Schizosaccharomyces pombe: one gene and its partner. Changing the gene in region 2 together with the main gene of any one other region gives a genetic interaction. Each region holds a gene or a part of one and is shown on either strand. Other genes may lie near its edges.

Evidence for each region.
Region 1: mutations in arg1 (region 2) and atg1 impair growth when combined (synthetic growth defect), as found in Schizosaccharomyces pombe (one study listed by BioGRID).

The regions. Positions count from the first base shown.
Region 1 is NC_003421.2:849,319-854,335, forward strand, and holds atg1 (autophagy serine/threonine protein kinase Atg1), read right to left. Parts: upstream 3,365-5,017; 5' UTR 3,287-3,364; coding exon 3,185-3,286; intron 3,123-3,184; coding exon 732-3,122; 3' UTR 515-731; downstream 1-514. Other genes in the region: thg1 (tRNA guanylyltransferase), read left to right, coding at 10-114, 168-311. UniProt on the Schizosaccharomyces pombe protein: Serine/threonine protein kinase involved in the cytoplasm to vacuole transport (Cvt) and found to be essential in autophagy, where it is required for the formation of autophagosomes.
Region 2 is NC_003421.2:1,612,541-1,616,776, forward strand, and holds arg1 (acetylornithine aminotransferase), read right to left. Parts: upstream 2,397-4,236; 5' UTR 2,358-2,396; coding exon 2,286-2,357; exon of another isoform or gene 2,258-2,285; intron 2,038-2,257; coding exon 784-2,037; 3' UTR 507-783; downstream 1-506. Other genes in the region: Protor homolog, Bit61, read right to left, coding at 1-24; NEDD8-conjugating enzyme Ubc12, read right to left, coding at 2,539-2,648, 2,896-3,043, 3,155-3,243, 3,326-3,421, 3,488-3,578; protein Gta3, read left to right, coding at 4,123-4,236.

The DNA of each region.
Region 1 (5,017 bases), 760 kb from region 2:
ACTTTACAGGGTACCGTCAGCGCAGAAAAACATGAAATTTTGTTCTCAAAATTCGGCATCAACTATAATTTTGAACCAGAGATATACAAAAAGGGCTCGATTTGGATTCGTGAGGTATGCTCGACAAACTTTGTTTAAATTAATTTTTGCTTACTTATTTAATTTAGCCTATTGATCAAGAATGGCATCAACAAGACAAAAAGTTCTCCGTAAAACAAAAGAAGAAAATGGTTTTATCTATCCTTCACGTAAGTCTGATAGACGATGACTTTTGGACTTCAAGGCCATTTCTTGAGGTATTGTTACAATAATTTCCTTTCACACATTTGTAAATTATGGGTCGTTTGAACAAAAACATTATCACTCGTTTAATTGTTTCTCTCATGCAGTCATCAGCTCTAGGCCGTATAAAACAAATCTTTGTTTTGGAAATCAAAAAAGTACTAGATTCTTGCCTTGATACGTTAAATAGCTGTTTTACTTGTTTGAAAAATTTAAGAGAAAAAAAATAATATGCACGAAATTTGAATAGAGATAAACCTCAATAAATAAGAGTTAAATATACGGGACTATCAACCCTATGTATAAAAAAAGCAAAATTAAAAACGTCTATATTAAAAAGTTATATAAATAATATGGTCATAACAACGAATTCATAACAAAATTTAGACTCAGAGCTCAGCTCATACAATATGCGAATTTGTTCAATAAAAGGGCGAAATCGTCGGTGTTCAAGCAAGATTGGGGGCAAGTGTTATTTTCGCAACACTTTCTGTTACTTTGTTGGCTACATTAGCCTGGATTTGTTTCGATTGTAAAAGTTCTTGCCTTTTCGTTATCAAAGCAATCAAATTTCTTATGGTTACTGAATTATTGGAATCGTTAGCACCGTCTGGAGTCGAAAAATTACTCTCAAGAAGTGACTCCAACAAATGTGCTGCAAGCCGGTAATTTTGTAAACAAGCCTGTGCATCATTTCCTGACAGTTCACTAGTGGCTGCATTTCTGGATAGGTCCAATGCTCTATGATAAATTAATTGAGAAGCTGACACAGGTTTGGTAGTTGGCAAAGAATGTGCGGCACTTTGAGAAATAATAATTTCACGTAAAAATTGGGATTTCTCAAGACTTTCTGAATACCTTTGACGAAACCATTCAATGGCTTGTTGGCAATCAGGAGATGCACGTTCTTCAGAGTTGGCCCAAAAAGCAGCAACACCGTCAAACGCCACTTGTAACAGCTCAATGTCTCTCTCATAAAGTACATACGATTCCTTGGCTAACATAACCAATGAAAAAGGAGTCAAAGGTCTATCCAAGAGTGTATCTCCAGGCTTCATTTCATCAGACAAAGAAGGAATAATTTGAGCAAGCTTCACTTCAGCCAGATGGTAGACAGAGTTTGATTTCATCGCTATACTTTCTAAAACATCAAGCAATCTTTTACCGGTGTCAGGTAAGGAAGGTTGGATAATGTTGACATTGTTATCCAAATTGCTTTCTTTTGTAGGAAGGGATGTGTTTCCATTATCTGTCATACCATCCACTACAACTTCATTAAGCCTAGCGTTTGCAACATTTAGTGCTCGTTCTAGAGCGCTTTTATTTCGCGCACCACCTCCAGATTGAGGTACATGTGCTGTAGCTTGCTCAAACGCACGACGTAGTTGAGTGACTGGGGTTGAAGCAATGTAGGTAGGATTAGAAGGGAAAGCATTGGGTTTCATGTAAGGGATTTGCATCCGGCTAGTATGGGGAAACGCATGATTATTTACAGGAGCGCTTTCAGGAGAGAAACTACCTTGAAAAACACCTTCGTTTGGTGAAGGCGAGTTACCATTGATTGATTGCTCGTGGGTTAGGCTTTCATTGGAAAGTTGGGTAGAAGAGATTATGGGATGATGGTCCACTACGACATAGGCGCTACTTTTGTTCGAAGTATCACTTGTCAACTTAGCAGGAGATGCCATGGGTATAGGTTGCTTAGAGGTTAATCGAGGAGGGAAAATGCTAGCAGCAGGAGCACTTTCAGGAGGAAACACGGGGGTGTATGGTAAAGTGTTTCCATCTTGTGCATAGCGATGAGGCACCCTTCGACCGGTAATTTCAGAGGGCTGAATACTAGACCCCTGAGCTTGGAAAGCTTGACGCAACAAACCGCCTGGAGGAGCAGGAGCGCCAGGATTACTTTTTGGGAAAAAATCGGTTATGTAGGCAGGACTAGAAGATGGAATGTTTATTTCCTTAACCGCATCTTGAATATCGCTACCGGTCAAAGTAGATGCGTCATCTAATGGAGTAGTGACAACAATACTGGAAAAGAAACCGTCGTAGTCGATACGATCAGCCGGATTTTGCTTCAGCAAAGCACAGATAAGGGTTTTAATGTCCGGGTGAATGAAAGCTTCTTCAGGAAACTTGATGACATCTTTAGCTTTTTGAATCCTCCTAAGAAGTTCGACATGATTTGGGGCCTTGAAGGGAGGCTTTCCAACAGCCATTTCGTATAACACAGCACCTACTGACCACAAATCGGCTTTAGCATCATATTTCTCGTAACGAAGTATTTCGGGCGCCATATACAACGGAGAGCCACATAGAGTTTCCGCCATACTAGACGTTTGAAGGTAACGTGCAAAACCAAAGTCTGCTAATTTAAGCATTGGTAGCTTGGGACTTCCCACAAACTGGGGATGCTCTTCCAGATAGGCAGCGGTGGGTGGTGGTTGTAAAAGAAGATTTTGGGGTTTGACATCTCGATGAATTAAAGAACGCGATCGTAAAAATTGGAGTGCAGAAGCAAGTTGTTGGGTAAAATGCCGAACCAACGTCTCATTCAATCCAGCCTTGTAAACTGGCGGATGATCGATGTTGATCCAGGCTAAGGAGGGAATACTGTTAAACTTTTCTCGCTTTCGAATAAAATAACTCAAATCTCCTAGGGAGCAATACTCCATGACCAGGTGAATGAACCGCCCAGCCTTAATACAGTCTATCAGTTCCACAACATGCACATGACGGATCTCTTTAAGGATTGAAATTTCACTTTCTAAATTCTCCAAAAGTTTCTTAGTAAGCTTCTTTGTCAATACGCTTTTAATAGAGATCACTCGATTCGTTTCCTGCAACACGATTAGCCACCAAATTCCATTGAAACAGACAAGCAGTTGCTTCTTTTACTTACCGTGTGCTTTCCTTTATACACAATTGCGAAAGATCCACGTCCAATTTCCGATCGAATGACATAGGGACCAATTGTTTGATTTGTACTCGTCTGTAAGTTCATACAGCTTCTGGTTCACGATAAGACAGGTGTAAGGGTTTTAGCTGCCTTTATACTCACTTTGATAGCATGGGAGTTGGCAAGGATAGCGGGTCGCCATTGATAATATAGCTGCGTAAAAGGCACTTTCCGCACTGGGCTTTAATACCTTAAAATAAATTGCGATCGTGGTGCGGCTGTAAAAGGTAACAGGAGATATGGTTTCGGGATAACAAGTTTTATGGGAGTAAGCACTATGAATAGAATGCGAGTTTATAGAGGAAATTGTATTAACTCAATGAATTATAATATTTTACACACATATACCTGCTGGTAGTGTCTAAATTCTTTGAAATTGTTCCCTTTTTGTGCAGCTGAAAAATGCCGAAAGTGGGTTAAGACGAAATAAATGTGTTAATTTTTGCCATGTCAGTTACCGATTTGAGTACGGAAAGCAAGTGTGTGTGGAATTAGAGGATAAGAACGGAAGTAGATAATACTCCAGACGAAGCGTAGATACCCGCGAAAAGGCAAATTAGTTGGAAAAGGCGATTGTCATGGATAGAGTGATCGAGGCAGATGAAAATGCAAGTGTAAATAGAGGGTAAATTTGGATAAAAAACCGGCGGCAGATGTACAACTTGTACCACTGTACCAGTTTCATGCCATATAGAAATAATATAAAAAAAAAAAGTAAACTGGATTTAAAAGACAAAAAAAAAAGAAAAGAAGGAGCCTACAGCACCCCGGATTCCCATGTTGTCTCCAACCATAGTACTAACGAGGCCCTCAGACGCTTAACTGCAGTGATCGGACGGGAACTGGTGTTTTCGCCTAGGTATGGCCGTAGACATTTGTTGTGTTAAATAATAATATTTATGGTTGAAGAAAAGAATATCATTTTTTTTATGCAGTGTGAGTTTTGGCTCAAACGCATGTATATAATACTACAAAACAGGGAATTGGGCAATGACTAGTATTCAAACATGCCCTGAGGACTTGAAGACCATAATGGAAGGTAAGAACTCTCTTGCAGAAAATTAAAAGAAAATTTCCAATCATAATATGTTGCTTTTCTCTTTATTGATATATACGAGATTGGTTGTGGAATCCAAATTTCTAAAACAGACTTTAAAGTCAACATTAGCGAAAACGCTACTGAAAACAAGCAACGTTATAAAAAATTCACCTTCTCACCATGAATAGTTTAATTTTGTATTTGCGTGATAATAAAATAAATAAATTAATTCGAGAATATAAAATAAAAAAAGTTTTGAAACTGAATATAAGTGCTTGTTGCCAATAATACTGCAATGAAGTTTGAAACAAAAAATAAAAAAAAATAAAGTAAAAATAATAAGTTAATCAAAATTTTGATTTTGTAGCAATAAATAAATTAATGAATTTTTTTTTAATCTATTATTTTCTAGGAAATTTGGAAAATTAATAAATGGAATTAAAATGCTTATGCTCCGAGTCGTACACTGTTTAATTAATTTTAAGCAAGCAAAAATAATATACTGTTCGTTTCGAAGCAACCTATTCTACTTAAAATTGTGCCACGATATCCGCTCAGATACTCGTTGTTATACATTTCTCAATAAATGAATATTTTGATCTTCCTAAATATGCGAACTGTAATAGTCAATTACCTTTAAATATATGACTGATTGAATAGCAAAACTATATATACATATATTTTGTAATATCATTTTTACCGAAATTTATAGTCCGTTTTAGTTTTATTCGTTTCAT
Region 2 (4,236 bases):
TGAAAAAGATCCCCTCCCTACCATCTTTAGTAATATTTTTGGAAATGTACTGAGGGTATCCAAGAAATTTGCTTTTAGTTACGCGAAATGCGATTCTTCAAAATAAGCATGAGATGATATTCATTGTTCAATCATTATAAAATGATTAAACTTACTTAAAAAAATGATATTTTTTAGAAAGATAAAAAATTTTGTTTATTTTTGAATATGGTGGTATTTTGCTAAAGTATCGATGTGCGCCTTAAATTAAGATAAAATATAGAAACGAAAAATTGATTAAGAATTCCTTATAACGATATCGTTCTAATGTGAATTGAATGAATAGCATGTTGATATAATAATTGTATGCCAAAGAAAAAAATAGTTAATGCTAAAAGAAAACATGGAATGTTATTTGCTATATAACTTTTTAAAAGTTAGTAATAGAAAACGCAGTAAAAAAACATTGATTTTGTGAATTACTATCATTTGACAGAGTATTTACGGTACATATTACGACAATTCAGTTTAGTAGATGAAAAACAACAATATATATCTAATTTTCTAACAAAAAATGTAAACAAAATTGATTATGAAAAGAAAGGGAATAACGAAAACCAGTATTTACAATGTAAAGCTTCCAGCTAAGCTTTTCGTAACCCCCCTATCAAAAAATTTTTTGGTTGGCAAATGAGAGCAAGGTTAATATATGTTTTCGAGGAACAAGATTTCTCGTAATAATCACTTTTTATCGCACTATATAACCAATCCATTCAATGACCAAGTCTACGAAAACATACACTTTTACTTACTTAAAGCCTTCAAAGTGCTCTCCATGATATCCAAACCCTTAGCAATAACCTCATCTTTAACATTCAAACTAGGAAGGACACGGGTGTTGTTGTTTCCACCTGGTAAGAGTAAAAGACCTTGTTGACGAGCAAGCTCAATAAATTTAGCAGGGGGCTCGGTAAATTGCAAACCAAGAAGAAGACCACGACCAGCATATCCACGAATAAGATTAGGGTATTTGGCAACAAAGTCATCAAAACGTGAAGTAAGAGCCTTGTGTTGCTTTCTAACGTTTTGTAGAATCTTGGATGACCCTAATTCATTAACACAGAATGTGCCTACACGGCAAGCAACAGGATTACCTCCGAAAGTACTGCCATGTTCACCAGGGTGAATTTCAGCAGCGATCTTACTGGAGACAATGGTGGCGCCGATAGGTAGACCATTAGCCAAAGGTTTGGCAACTGTGATAATATCGGGACTAGCGACATCCTTAACGATACTATGGGCCCAAAGATCACCGCTGCGACCAAGTCCGCATTGAATTTCATCATAGATTAAAGAAGCACCAACCTTATCACAGGCCTTGCGCAAAGCAATCAAAAATTCAGGCTTGGCAGGACAAATACCACCTTCACCTTGAACGGGCTCGACAATAACAGCCGCAGTTTTGTCATTGACAAATTGCTCTATGGATGCAGGGTCATTATAGACGGCTTGGACGACATCAGGAAGTAATGGTTGGAAACCACGTTTATATTTGGGGTTCGCAGTGATACTAAGAGATCCCAAAGAACGGCCGTGGAAAGAGTTATTAAAGTAAACAATTTGACTCTTCCCTTCTCCATACTTCTCAAACGCTGCCTTACGAGCGAACTTCAAGGCTGTCTCATTGGCCTCAGTACCACAATTGGCAAAGAAAATTTTTGTGGGGCCAGCAATACCGCTATTTTTTGCCAAAGAATTATTAATGACATTAGATAGCTCAATGGCAGGCTCGTTGTAGAAAAGGTTGCTACTATGGACTAATTTGGAGCATTGATCAGCGGCAAGTCTAGCAACTTCAGGATGAGCATGACCCAAAGATGTAACAGCTACGCCAGAGGTGAAGTCAATGTATTTACGACCTTCCTTGTCAAACAAATAGGAGCCCTCACCTTTAGCAGCTACGACTGGATAGCGTGCATAAACTGATATAATATTCGCCCCTTCCTTCTTGATAATATTGCAACTGGTTGTATCAGGAGTTGGATCTTTGTGGGTAAGCTAAACTTGGTTAATAAGCAGTTTAAGAAATATTAAAATTAGTACTGTATGAGGCAGTATGAAAGCACAAATGAAGATTTATTTTGTTGGGTCAGTAAGAAGCATTCTCAACATCAATACTTGTCTAAAAACAAGAGCAAAGTACAGAATTCTCGAAAACAATCAGAATTAGATGATAGTCTAATTATTTGCCATCGTATGTTCAGTTGCACTTACAATGCATACTCTATCAACAAACTTGTACTTACGCTGACAAATCGACGAAAGGCGATTTGGGAACCAGACGAACGAACAGAGAGAAGTGATCGTCTTTGAAACATTGTAAAGCAGTTACGGGCTTATTAGGGGGGTTTGGTTCTGGTTATGTGTTTTTATACTGATATCGGAAGTTCATCGTAATCGTGACTGATTTAGCGAGATTTAAAACACATCAATATTTTCATGACAGTCGTCTAATCTATGTCGGTTATCTTTATCGAATTGATTTAGATTGATGAAAAATTAAGCCATGACATTGTCAAAAGAAATTCCATTCACAAGACCACCTTTCATGGCTGTACGCACACGAGATGCAAATCCTTGAGGGTCTTTATGCAAATCAGCCGCCGCCTCTAAAAGATATCGTTTGTTAGTATAGTTAAATAAATCTAGAAAATTTGTTAAGGAGCAAACCAGATTTCTTATATTAAAATTGCTTATCATAATCATTGTCCTCAGTAAAGAACCTTATAAATCCCATAATAAAGGATCGTAGAAAAAATGAGTATCAAATGATAGTTAAGAGATGAATAATCATTTCCTTGTAATGCAATAACAAGAAATAGTTCATTGCCCCCCAAAAAATTGTAATTAACCTACCTTTGTTGAGTGGATCTTCTGCGTTTGGTGACAAGAATAAAAATTGCAATCCAACCAAAATAGAATTCAAATTCAACACTGGATTCCAATCCTGACGCAGAATATTGAGGCATACGTTTCCCTCAATATCGATATTTGGGTGATAGATCTAACAGTAGGTCAGAACGAAAGGGTTCAAAACATGTTATAATGGTTATTTTCTTAAATGCAAAAAATATACCATAAGCTGCAACTCTAATTTAGAGCATGACTGACATACTTTGTTTAGACATTTAACCTTAGGAGGATCATGAGGATAATTATCGTCGATTTGGATTCGAAATTTAAATTTCCCACCCTTGTAATACCCTTTTCATGTTAATCAAAATAAAAAATAATAGTCTCAAAAAGTCTACACCAAATATTCTTTCATGCGGAATCACAAACTTACCTTCGTCAGGCCGGATTTCTAAATGTAGCACGTTCAATTTTATAGGATCTGGCCAGCTTGTAGACATCGTAGATGGGATTTCTAAATCTGTAACGTCTAAATTCATCGAAAATGGTTAGTTTCGAGTAAATCGCGAAAAGTTATCAACATGATGAGTCGCACCTTTTTGGATTCGGATTTGTGCTGGACTAATCCCTGACGCATTTTTCTCTTTTTGAGCTTCTTTCTTTTTTAATTCCCAAATTTTTCTCATGATTTACGCGATTCTTGTAATAGGCAGAAGGATGGAAAATGCGCTTACAATTTTGGGTATAAACAATACTCTCATACATCATTAAAAAATAGCGAAACATGTAGACACCTAAAGTGCTAATAATGTGGCATTTTATATTACCTTATTCAATTGCAATAACCAATTTTAATAAAGTCGTTACTCTACGCAAGCATTCAACAATATTACGTACTGGAACACTGCTATGTAAAGTTATATACAGACATCGCAGGATGTCGTAAATTTAGGGAATGGGAAACGGTTATCATAGTAATGAAAAATAGTTCTCCTAATTAGAGAAGCTGATTATATTGACTTTACTTACCGAATGATTTAATATATTCCTTTACTATTAATTCTAAAAAAACCCAGACTTACAACCTAGTCGTTAAATTGTAGGAACCGACTACAACTTCGACAGCTGTTTCAAAGCATTTGAAAAACTTACAAAGTGTTTAAGATTGAATCTTTTTTTTAACCTGTACTATATTTTTCTCTTGTAATTAGCTCTATTTTCCTTTTCACTATGCCATTTTTGAAACCTTCAAAGGTTTCACTTAAACGAATTCTCCAAGGAAATCCACCCAAACCAATTGGCTTAACTGAGTATGGTCATTTGCTGAGGCTCGTTGGTCTTCGT